Linked DNA regions of Arabidopsis thaliana. Changing the gene in region 2 together with the main gene of any one other region gives a genetic interaction. Each region holds a gene or a part of one and is shown on either strand. Other genes may lie near its edges.

What was found.
Region 1: of SAP (region 2) and DA1, a change in one rescues a mutant of the other (synthetic rescue), as found in Arabidopsis thaliana (one study listed by BioGRID).

Annotation. Positions count from the first base shown.
Region 1 is NC_003070.9:6,660,536-6,666,543, forward strand, and holds DA1 (DA1), read left to right. Parts: upstream 1-1,881; 5' UTR 1,882-2,489; intron 2,490-2,751; 5' UTR 2,752-2,791; coding exon 2,792-2,977; intron 2,978-3,086; coding exon 3,087-3,180; intron 3,181-3,287; coding exon 3,288-3,516; intron 3,517-3,615; coding exon 3,616-3,736; intron 3,737-3,834; coding exon 3,835-3,918; intron 3,919-4,047; coding exon 4,048-4,167; intron 4,168-4,269; coding exon 4,270-4,482; intron 4,483-4,582; coding exon 4,583-4,761; intron 4,762-4,843; coding exon 4,844-4,902; intron 4,903-4,996; coding exon 4,997-5,310; 3' UTR 5,311-5,497; downstream 5,498-6,008. Other genes in the region: AT1G19290 (Pentatricopeptide repeat (PPR) superfamily protein), read left to right, coding at 5,714-6,008. UniProt on the Arabidopsis thaliana protein: Ubiquitin receptor that limits final seed and organ size by restricting the period of cell proliferation. May act maternally to control seed mass. Acts synergistically with DA2 to regulate seed size.
Region 2 is NC_003076.8:13,935,343-13,942,458, forward strand, and holds SAP (Transducin/WD40 repeat-like superfamily protein), read right to left. Parts: upstream 5,526-7,116; 5' UTR 5,445-5,525; coding exon 5,238-5,444; intron 2,249-5,237; coding exon 1,115-2,248; 3' UTR 744-1,114; downstream 1-743. UniProt on the Arabidopsis thaliana protein: Transcriptional regulator involved in the specification of floral identity. Acts as A class cadastral protein by repressing the C class floral homeotic gene AGAMOUS in the external flower organs in association with APETALA2 and other repressors.

The DNA.
Region 1 (6,008 bases), on a different chromosome or scaffold from region 2:
ACAGACTACCTAAAATGAATTAAAATTTCCCAAAATGTGAAGAAGAAGAAGAAAGCTAAACATAGTTTACGGGTCACATATCTATAAAAGACTCTACGACCAAAATGATCAAACGATTAAGCAAAAATATTACCAAAAGTACACTTTTATATCGATAGGAGCATAATGGTTCAAATAATAATGGGCCTATAGAAAAAATCGAGGCCCATTAACTTTCTCTTGGAGTATGTAAAAAATAAAATGAGTGTTGTGTGAACTTGTGAGATAAGGTAATTTGCAACTTCATTGAACGTTAAAAATAAGCAGAAGACATGAAAATTAATATAAGCTAACTAGTTGAATGGTTTGGTAGAGCTTTCGTAAAAAAAAGAACGAGGCTCAAATGATTTCAGTATTACAAACCAAAATGAGGTATGAAGTAATATACAAGTTGTATCATACATAAAGAACAACTTGTTCATGACAAACCCAAACTCAGCTATCTCAAGAATGTAATAGTAGTAATAGCTAAATCGTCGGATCCAATAGACGGCTAGTGGTTAAGTAATGTATGCGGGTTTATATAAAGGTCGTGGTTACTGGTTAGAAACATAATGAAGTAAAAATTTGTTACATATATGAGCTTATAAAGCCTATAAACGAGATACGATTTTTTTACATTCAAAATAATAACGGGCCTGTGAAAGCCCATAAAAGCTATCACTTTCCGTGGTCACCGTAACTTCCGCGAGTGTATAAAGAAGAAATTCACATACTTAATTACCAAATTATTCGTTTAATAATATTGTAAAGTGATGATGAACGATATCACATTGTGACATTGACACTCATACATGTAGTTTATAATTTATGAATTCATGTAATGTATATCGTACGTGTATGCTAAATTATAATATGTCAATAAGGTAAACATGATTGAACTTTTACTTTTTGCATAAATCAACAAATTTCCTTTCCATATCTTTTTTCACCTCTATACTTTACTTTCTAATTTAAAGTTATGATATAAAATTAATAAATTGTGTTTGCTTGTAATATTTTAACAAAACCACGCCTCACCAACTTTTTCCTAATCTTTTCTTCAACTTTTTTTCCTTTGTTGTCACCTTTTCGATATGGAATAAGTAATAACATCATTAATTCATTATATGTACTTCTCTTTTTCAATTTTTTTTCTTCTCATTTCTTAGCTTTCTGCTGAATTATTTGGCAATTGGTAAAATTACAAATCACGCTGAAAAGCCAAAAGTTAAATAATATTATTTTCATATCAATAAAATGTGAGTGAGTTATGGGAGCCTAGATTTTGGTTCAAATCAAATTCTAATTATCGTATTGGTTAAAAAATCTATCAACTAAAATTCGATAACTTGACAATTAATTGAAACAACAACGGTTTAAACAGTTAATTAGTATTTATACATTTTTTCTTGTATTTATGCGTTTTTGTTTGATGTTTAGAAAAACACACATATTAAAAAAATATATATATTAAATATTGATTATAAATTTATTATTTTTTGTGTTTTACAATTTTCTATTATTCTAAATCAATGATAATTAACTATTTTTTTAGAAAATTACAATTCACTAATATTATCCAATAAATATTGCATGAAAAATTTAAAAGATTAATCTTTTAGAAATAAATCATTTAGTAATAAAGAAAATATATATTTATAAATAATTTTACAATTTAGTGGAAAATTATAAAAAAAATATATTTAATGTTTTCTAGCAAAAATATATAAAATCTTATTAGAATTAGAACCCGACAATCCGGATAAATGCGTTACGACTTGTAGAAGATTTGGTTTAAGGCTTGAAGCAATAATTAAATATTAAATATCTAGATATTTGCATAAACGTTGCAAAATGGAAGAAATTGCCAAAACAAAATAATTATTTGACTTTTAAATTGCGTAATAGTATAATTATAATTCTCTTTCTATCTCTAAATCACAGCGTGGGGAACGTTTTTTCCTGGAAGAAGAAGAAGAAGAGCTCAACAAGCTCAACGACCAAAAAACTTCGGACACGAAGACTTTTTAATTCATTTCTCCTCTTTTGTTTTTTTCGTTCCAAAATATTCGATACTCTCGATCTCTTCTTCGTGATCCTCATTAAATAAAAATACGATTTTTATTCTTTTTTTGTGAGTGCACCAAATTTTTTGACTTTGGATTAGCGTAGAATTCAAGCACATTCTGGGTTTATTCGTGTATGAGTAGACATTGATTTTGTCAAAGTTGCATTCTTTTATATAAAAAAAGTTTAATTTCCTTTTTTCTTTTCTTTTCTCTTTTTTTTTTTTTTCCCCCATGTTATAGATTCTTCCCCAAATTTTGAAGAAAGGAGAGAACTAAAGAGTCCTTTTTGAGATTCTTTTGCTGCTTCCCTTGCTTGATTAGATCATTTTTGTGATTCTGGATTTTGTGGGGGTTTCGTGAAGCTTATTGGGATCTTATCTGATTCAGGATTTTCTCAAGGTAAAGGGACGATCTTTAGCTTCTTTGCAGCTGCAATTACTTGATAATTCCATGTCTGGATTCTAATTTCATGGTTTTTTGAAAAAAAAAACAAAAAACAAATCCGTTTGGAACTCGTTTGCTTAATGGTGACAGGTTTTAGGGTTGTTTAGTTATTGTTGTTAGATTCAAAGTGCTATTGTTCTGTGGCTTTTGATGTTTGGAAGTGAAACAAGTTTGTTTTGGGTTTTTGCTAATCAGAGATGATTCGACGATTTTGCAGGCTGCATTGCCGTATGAGCAGATAGTTTTATTTAGGCATTATGGGTTGGTTTAACAAGATCTTTAAAGGCTCTAACCAAAGGCTCCGGGTTGGGAATAATAAGCACAATCACAATGTTTATTACGATAATTATCCGACTGCTTCACATGATGATGAGCCTAGTGCGGCGGATACAGATGCTGATAATGATGAACCTCATCATACTCAGGAACCATCTACATCTGAGGTGAGTTTGGGGATCATGAAGTAGTGAAAAGAACCACATATATAGTTGACGGTTTATCATAGCTCTGGTCTGTACTGTTATTTCAACTTTTGTGGTTTTTCTTTACTAGGATAATACATCGAATGACCAGGAAAATGAAGACATAGACCGTGCAATTGCATTGTCGCTTTTAGAAGAGAATCAAGAACAGACAAGTATAAGCGGTGAGTTCATTTTCAGGATTGTTTTAGCCAAAACAGATATATGAAGACATGGTTTTGTTATCGGATTCGGTTTGCTACAATTCCTTTAAAAAAAGTAATGGACACAGGGAAATACTCGATGCCGGTGGATGAAGATGAGCAACTTGCTAGAGCCCTACAAGAAAGTATGGTAGTTGGGAATTCACCCCGTCACAAAAGTGGAAGTACATATGATAATGGGAATGCATATGGAGCTGGAGATTTATATGGGAATGGACATATGTATGGAGGAGGAAATGTATATGCAAATGGAGATATTTATTATCCAAGACCTATTACTTTTCAAATGGATTTCAGGTATTTAGATAGCCAATCATATTTAGCTGGCTTAATTTGGTCGATGTGTTAGTTTAGTGTCCAGCAGCCAAATAACTTGTCAACAACTTGTCTGCATAGGATTTGTGCTGGCTGTAATATGGAGATTGGCCATGGAAGATTTCTGAATTGCCTTAATTCACTATGGCATCCAGAATGTTTTCGATGTTATGGCTGCAGTCAGCCGATTTCTGAGTACGAGGTGAAACCAAGCTCTCTTCCATATCCTCTTCATTTGCTTTCTGGTTCTACTTAACCTTTAGATTTTCTTTTGTAATGTGTTTCCCTTTTTTCCTATAGTTTTCAACATCAGGGAACTACCCTTTTCACAAGGCTTGTTACAGGGAGAGATATCATCCTAAATGTGATGTCTGCAGCCACTTTGTACGTAAACCTCTTTCCTTTTCTATCATTTTAGCCCATAAATATATTCATGTGTTGTTGTTTTGTTCCGGATCTTACACTTATCGTCTGTTGCTTTGTTTTTCTCCCGAATGTAAATTCTTTGAACAGATACCAACAAATCATGCTGGTCTTATTGAATATAGGGCACATCCTTTTTGGGTTCAGAAGTATTGTCCTTCTCACGAACACGATGCTACCCCGAGATGTTGCAGTTGTGAAAGAATGGAGGTGGGTTTTCTTCTCCTCTAATATGTCCCCAAACATACATCATCTACTCAAAAGTGAAAACATTTTTTAGCCGGTAATTGACAACTTAGCTATACTTTGTAGCCACGGAATACGAGATATGTTGAACTTAACGATGGACGGAAACTTTGCCTTGAGTGTTTGGACTCGGCGGTCATGGACACCATGCAATGCCAACCTCTGTACTTGCAAATACAAAATTTCTATGAAGGACTCAACATGAAGGTAGAGCAGGAAGTTCCACTCCTCTTGGTTGAGAGACAAGCACTTAACGAAGCCAGAGAAGGTGAAAAGAATGTAAGTAAAGAAAAGACAATTATCCAGTACTAAGCTAATACTTGAAATTATTATCACATTCTGTTTCTAAAGTATTAAACCTTTTCATTTTGCTTCTTAGGGTCACTATCACATGCCAGAAACAAGAGGACTCTGCCTTTCAGAAGAACAAACTGTTAGTACTGTAAGAAAGCGATCAAAGCATGGCACAGGAAAATGGGCCGGGAATATTACAGAACCTTACAAGTTAACACGGCAATGTGAAGTTACCGCCATTCTCATCTTATTCGGGCTCCCTAGGTAAAAAAGACTCTTTTTGCTTCCATTGAATTGATCTTATGTCACAGTTCAAGCATTGATGGTTTTGCTGAATTTTGTTCAGGTTACTTACTGGTTCGATTCTAGCTCATGAGATGATGCATGCGTGGATGAGGCTCAAAGGTGAATTTCTTACTACTCCTCTTAACGTCTTATATTACTGCTTCTTTCTGTTGATCACATTGTTGAAACCTTGTTTCGTTTTGGTCTTAAAAAGGATTCCGAACACTGAGCCAAGATGTTGAAGAAGGTATATGTCAAGTGATGGCTCATAAATGGTTAGATGCTGAGTTAGCTGCTGGTTCAACAAATAGCAATGCTGCATCATCATCCTCCTCTTCTCAAGGACTGAAAAAGGGACCGAGATCTCAGTACGAGAGAAAGCTTGGTGAGTTTTTCAAGCACCAAATCGAGTCTGATGCTTCTCCGGTTTATGGAGACGGGTTCAGAGCTGGGAGGTTAGCTGTTCACAAGTACGGTTTGCGAAAAACACTTGAGCATATACAGATGACCGGTAGATTCCCGGTTTAAGAACCCAAATGGACAAGGTCTTCTACTTTATTTATAGGATCCTTGGTAGATTATTATTATATGCTCTAATTCTTTTGGTGGAAAATGTACTCTCGACCATATTCTTATGTGTAGTCTCATTCGATGATTCTTTGTATTCCTCTGTTAAAATCCATCAGAATCAGATTCAGTGTTTTCTTTGTTATTGCTCTCCAAATTCAATCGAACCAAACCGAGCCAAACCAAACCAACCGAACCAAATTCCAATTTAAAGGTTTCTTCTTTACACACTCTCACTCTTCGTCGCCGACGTAGTCGTCGTCAATCGTCGACTAAAACCTTAGACACATTCCAAAGTACGGAACTTTGAGGTCCCAAGTTTAATGGGTTCCAGCGTTAATCATCCGACAACAAAATTCTCCTGATGCTCCGACGGTCTCCGGCACGCGTTGTTGCCTATCAGTTGCTTCCGTTTCTCTATACTCGTAGCTTCTCCGAAGCCTCGAGAACCTTACGCCGCGAGCTTCGAGGAGGAAACGGGCGAATTCGACCCGAATTACTCGAGCGGGTCTCACGTTTGCTCGTACTTGGCAGGTACGAAGCTTTACATGATCTATCACTCGATTTCTCAGATGAACTTCTCAACTCCATCCTGCGTAGATTGAGGCTTAACCCAGAGGCATGTCTGGAGATTTTCAATTTGGCTTCAAAGCAACAAA
Region 2 (7,116 bases):
CAATGGTCTCTCAAGAGTCATATTATTTGCATAAGTTGATTTGTCCCTGCAAATTCCAATACAAAGCCTTGTGGACTTAATTAAGATAATAGATGTGAAAATTCAAACACATGAATCTGTTTAAAAGACAAAATAAACGTGGCATTATATCAAACATCTTGTAATTTCATATACATAAATATCAAATTGATATTTCCCTCTCTTTGAGAACTGTCCTTACGAATTCGTTTCTAAATAACATGTTTTAGATCCTAACTGTTTGTGTTCTTATGTGATGGTTTTTTAGGGACCGGTAGGTACAACGTGACTCATTCTTGTGAGAATCCAAGTTTTGAACTATGATTTAAAGTCACAATATATGGTTACCATCTCAAATTTTATGTAGAGTGCAACTTTTTCTTGAATTGGCGTGTGTTTGGTCTTCTCGAACTTGCTTCTAACGCTATTTCAAACTTGGAAAATTTTGATTTTCACTCTTTATCATCTTGTTTGTTCAATGAGATTAGCCGTTTTGTTTGTATATTGGGTGTGTCCAATTATGCTCTTTTCTTATGTTATTGTTTATGAATAACTTGTTGAACATTTTACTTATCAATTCACTCCAATATATCCTAAAATTGGGATATGCTCAAATCACATCTAGATCTCATGATTCATATTTCTATACCATTCTTTCGATTTTGATCTTGTTTCTGTCTACACCTCCTGTAAAATATATTTTTTACACAAAATGTATTTAAAACCCATTATACAAAATAATAAACTCCAGTAAAGTGAAGAATTACAAGTAGAAGAAAAAAAAAAGACATCTCGTACAAAGTCAGAATTGAGAGAGCCCTAAACACAAGGAAAAAAACAAGAACAACAAGAAAAAGTCCACTTTGTTTGGTTTTAGACAAAAACAGTAACTTACTTTTTTGGTCAAACTCTGTAGAAAGAATCAATCTCCCTTGTAAATCTCACCCTCCTGTCACCATCTTCCCTCCGTCACTTTCCCAATTTAATTTATAATCAGAAACCCTACATATACACCTAGGTTTAGGGTTTCGCTTTTTCAGAGAAAAATAGTTTCTTTTTCTTCAAGTTAAAAAAAAAAAATTATTAATCTGGTACGCTACAGTGCACCGAAATCCCATAGATGTATAATACTCTGAGCCGTTGATGAAGCTGACGCAACCGCCACATGTCTATCATCGGCAACAATGGCGTCAACTTCTCCTACTCTCTCCCTAATACTGTACAGATACTCTCCTCTCTCTACCTCCCACACGCGCATTATACCACCTGCGCACATTAGCGCGTGCAGTCTATTAACACAACCCATTACTCTTCTCTGCGCCGCTCCACTAACACGGAACTCACACACCGTTTGTTGCGTGTTCACCCTTCGCACGCTAGCGTTTCCTCTACTGTCCAATCTAACGTACGCTTCGTCGTTGGCATCGAAGCCTGTCACTATTAGTCCTCTACGTTGCTCTTCGTCTTCTCCGATGATCACTCCTTGGTTTCTTAGATCGATCACCATGATTCTCCATCTCGTGCATGCTACCGCCGTCTCGTTACCGGAGATTCTGAGACGGCCAAGGGACGTTGTTAGCTCTGTTAACGTGTGCCATCCCATGACAGCTTCAGGGTCGGTGAGTGTACCACCGACGAATGTTGTCTCTTCGCTGTTACAGTCCCATATGTGAAAGGCACGACCTGGCACACCCGCGAAAAGACCGACCCACCAACGTCCACAGCCAGTGAAATCTACCAACGCACCGTCGTTAACTATATCTCCTGCGTAAGCCGTGCGTGTGTGACCAACACCGTCTATTTCCGCCACGTGGATGTCTCCGTCCATCGTAGCGAACGTGAGCCTTGAGTCGGAGATAACAATGCCTGAGACGGCTCGTGAGAATCTACCAAAGCGGTCACGTAGAGGTGGCCGTAAGGTCCTGACGTGGAGTCGGTTGTTTAAAAGAAAAAGCCGGACGGTTCCGTCGGCGAACCCTGCGGCTAAGTAGAGGTCTGAGAGGGTGAGACAACGGCAAGAGAGACTATCAGGCTCGTCCACATCAGACGGGTCAAATTGGAGAGTGAAGTAGGTGTGAGTACGCGTCCGGAAGTTTCTAGCCGTCCGATGACGGTAGATGAACTCGTCCCGCCACGTGTCGTGCATCAAATGTGTTCTTGCCCAAACTTGGCGAGATAGTAGTTGCCATAGATGGTCGGAGCGAGAGACAGCGTGCCACGTGGTGCAAACCTGCGATTAAGAAAAATTATTATAAGTTTTAACAAATATTATAATTAGTAGCTTAATTAATAAATGTATAAATAAGGGAGAGAGTAAAAAAAGACATAGAAAGAAGATAAGTAGGCCTGCAACGAAGCATGAAAGACTCTATATATAGGGACTAGGAAGATGGAAAGACAACGACAGACTCAGACACAAGCTCTGCGTAATATTTGTCTTACTCATCGAAACACACAACTCATTTTTATAAAAATCTATTTTATGACATATGTTCAATTGACGGGACTAATCAATCTCTGGAAGCTATAGATAGAGATATAACAACAGAAGCCCTAGTGTAAAAGGAATAATGAGAGGAAGCCCTAGTCCCATGTCAAAAGAACAAAAAACAAATCAATGTGACAATAATACAAAACAGATGATATGTTAATTTATTAGGACAGATGAGAAGACTTTAAATGAGTTAAGCTGAACATGAGATTCCGACTTTGCCAACAAGCGTGCCCTTCTCTCTTTCATTTCCAAGAAAGGATAGCTTTTAAGCCTTTGGTCTTGTTAAAAGTAGAGCTTCCCATAAATACACAAATATTACACTTATATATAGTAGATGTTTCTCTGTCTCTCTCATCCCTCTCCAACAATCCGTGGACCTACATTCTCTACATTTACGTTTATATTGTTATTTATTGTACATCTTTATTCCTCATTAAACGCAAAGTAATGTATTTGACTTCGTACTCTAGCTCTATAGTACAACCTAAAATCAAATATTTCGAATTCTATACGAAAAGAAAAGATATCTTGTCAAACCAAAGGTTTAATGTCTATTAGTCAGATAATCATTATAAAAAAAGAATAATCTAGGCACTAGGGCACGAAATGTAACATAAAATAGATTAGTACAACAAATAACATATGATGGAATGGCAAATCCTATTTATTATTATGCAAATTACCAATCACATCAATATGATATACTTCAAATAAGAAGGGAAAGAAAGTAGTTCAAATATTCCTGAGTTCTAAGATGACCAGATTCAGAATATCACTTTTGTATTTTAATGTGTGATATATCAAATGTAAGAACATAGTATATAATCTATAGACACCACTGCACGTGCTCTAAGAGACCCTTAACATTGGGTTCCATGTGCTTTTCGGCATATGTATGCCCATAATGTCGTCTCTTTTGACTGAAAAAAATTAAGGAAAGAAAAAAAAAAGATAAAAACCCACTTCAATGGAAAAGATGAATCGAGTCAGGAAAAAAGATAATTCCATGATCAATTTCAAAGTAAAAAACAACAATGAAAACTCTAGACTTATAGCCTTAATTCTCTGACAAAAGTGTTATGCTGTAACTACACTGCAGTTTCTTAAAATTTTAGGGCAAATTTGAAAATTCAATTAATTAGAAAATATTATGGGATTTAATAATGATTTAGAATTATCATGTATACATAGAGAAGTGAGATAAAATAAGAGAATGAGAAGTTGTCAGAAGCTCTGCATGCATTACTCAGTGGATCATAATATTGGCAGAGAAAAAAATAACAAAAGCAGGACGCAAAAAATGTACATATGTACTTATATACTATTCCTCGTTACTATATATGAGAAAAATCTTCAGCATAATATATATATGTATTATTTGTTTTTTTATGAACAAAAGAAAAAACAGCTATTTTCATATATAACATAGGATTATTAAAAAGAATAATATGAATGCCTGATATAATACATGGATCATATATCTGTTGATGAATAGAGTTTTCATGTATGTAGAAAATAACCTAATGTGGTAATATAGGACTAACATTGGCAAGGCAAAAAGACAGGACCTTACTTAGGTTTCTTTTCATTCTCTTTTTAGATGTTGTTAAATGTGCAACGACATTTTCTAGTTTTATGAGTCTGTCGTGAGAGGTCACTTTCTATTATTATAATTTTAAAACAATTAGCAGATAAATACCGTTATAATTATAATTCTAAAAAATATTAAATCTATTGGGCATTGGACTAAAGACTGTGCCTAATGTCTATCAACCAATATTTGGAGACAAGAAAGTGTTTAATTTGATTATTATTGTAAGAACTTTTGAGTCAAAAAGTGGATTTCTTGATCTTAAAAAAGGGCTTTCTACATGCCAAGAAAGGAAGATTTAAAGCCAATAAAATAAAATAAAACCTTGATTTTGTGCCCTAAGGGATCCAATTCATAATATAATATTAATATTAGAGTTACTATGCCCAAATGTTGTACAAAGATTACACAAACGAGATGGGGTTGTATGGTCTCCTTAGAGGATCCAAAAATAGACATTAAAAGGTATCAAAAGTAGACGAGAGAACAATGAAAAAGAAATAAACTTATTGGGTAAAAATGGAAGACAAAAAGTTTCTAAATACATAAAAGAAAAACAAAGTCCCCAAACTATATGATATGTGAAAGAGACATCAAATTAATGTCGTCTTGTTAGACATAAAAGTTGGACTTGGACCCATCATAGAAACACAGAAAGGGCGGTTACCTTTCCAAAGGTCAGTTTTTTTTTTTTTTTGTCTCTTCAGAATCCCAACCTTACAAACTAATATCACATTCAATCGAATTGAAGTAACATCATCACTTAATTATGATCTAAAGAGTAAGAATTCGTTATACCAAAAAGAATTAGAACGGCAGAATCAAATCTAAGCTTAGAAACAACTAAAGTACAAGACACTTGAAACAAGCAGTACATTTGACTAGACCAAGATTGTGTCCCTCCACTTAAGTTATTATAGACCCACGACTACTTTGACTTTGTTTTGTCTGCATAAGATCTATGTCTCACTATTTTCAAGTTCAAATATAAGCTAATAAACGAATTCAGATAGTGTAACGAAAATATTACTTTACTACCTGAAGTACATATATATATAGAGAGACACGAGATAATTGATGTGTCTCGACCGTTACAAAACTAAAAGAAGGTATTCAAAGAACGTTAGAACTGACCCGAAAAACGTTGGCAAGAGCCGGAGCTGCGGCGAGGAGGCCGGCGGATGTGGAAGCGTTAACGGCAACTTGAACGGCGAGAGATTCAAGAAAAGGCTCCGGCCAAACATCGTTGGCTCCGCGGCGAGGGCGGGATGGAGATGGGGCCTCGAAAACGCCGCCGCTTCCACCGGCTCCGTTGTCGGAAGAAGAGGAGGAGGTAGACATGAGACGAGAGGGGTTATAAGAGGAACAGGGGAAGAAGAAGAAGCGGAGAGAGGAGAAAGAATGGTGGGGGAGAGAGGAAACAAAGGACAAAAAGTGTAGATAAAGACATACTTCTCCGAGGTGGGGGACCCAGGTTGTGAAGGTATGTTTTTTTCCTATTTTTATTTTCTTTTGTCAAGATTTGTTATTATTTGTTTTTGTTTATTCTTAATAGATGCAGATTTGTTTGTGAAATAGCTTCAATTTTATATTTTTTAGGAAAAGTATTGGTTCAGTATGGTGACATATTTCAAAATTTCTTTCTTTTGATATGCAGATTTTGAATTATAATGGCAATATAACAGCTATATTATTATAAATCACTAGATTTATATTTTGACGATTTTTTATATTTAAAATAGTGTTATATATCATTAAGAATTCAACAATATATTTGCTAAGTTTATTTCCTTCCGCGAACATTAGTAAATTTTTTGTATATGGTAAACTATTGGCTAAACACAAATATTTGTAGATCGATCCATTTTAAAAATGAGAAATAAAATAATATGTATACGCAAAAAATTTGTCAGAGAGATCAAACTCGTAGCACCAAATCTCGACTTTCATACCAGTAGTAAAAACTTTTAAAGCATAGTTTAACATATTTTTTTTTCCCAACATACTATTGTCATTATAAGTAAATAATTTTTGGAAATCTGGTTAAGCATATTCTTATCATTACAATCCTCAAACCTAGAATTCGCCATATTCTGTCATCACAAAACTTAACCCTACTTTTTCTCATATTGCAGCTATCACGATCCTCAAAACCACGGTTCATCGTGAACTTTAGTCCAAACTCATCACAAACCAACACATGAGCATGCGATGCTTTTAAGTTTATTCCTCAATCTAAATATAGAAATATTTACATTTTCTGAAAATTATTCATATATATAGTGCTTTTATATAATTACAATTAACATTTTTGATTAGTATTTTTTAGTTAAAACATTTTTATTCTTTTTTAATTAAAAATAATTAACGAAATAATGATGAATCACGTTATTAAGAGAGAAAAAAAAATAAAGCCACATTATTAACGTCACTAAGAGGAACATTTTGGTTTTCCTCCCAGACATTGTTCATCTTGGGAAAAAAAAATGTCTTCTCTTTTACTAGGTGTTTATCCGAAAACGAAGAAAACCTATTTCTCGTGGCTATTCTCTCTTTCTCTCGTCTCTTCCGCCCGAAACTTTTAACGTCGTTGTCATCGAGTCACATTTCGTCTCAACTCAACTTGTTTCGATATGTGTCAAATCTTTATTTCGATTTTTCCGACAATAATCAGACATCTAAGTTCAATAGCAAGTGATTCCCATGATTAAAACCATTTTCTAAAACCACTGTTATGATATTGATGGTTTTTATCGACGCTTATTACGGCTGATTTTTGCCGTCGATTTACATATGGTGGCTGATTTGTTATTTCTATTCGATTTGATGGCTGAGTTATTGTATGCTTTAGGACTGATTTATGATTTATTAATGCATATGTGGTTGAGTTTGTTTTGTGTTGTGGCTTGGTTACTGTATGTTTTATGACTGATTTATGATTTATCAATGCATATGTGGCTAGGTTTGTTTTATGTTGTGGATGAGTTATTGTATGTTTGACTGAGTTATGATT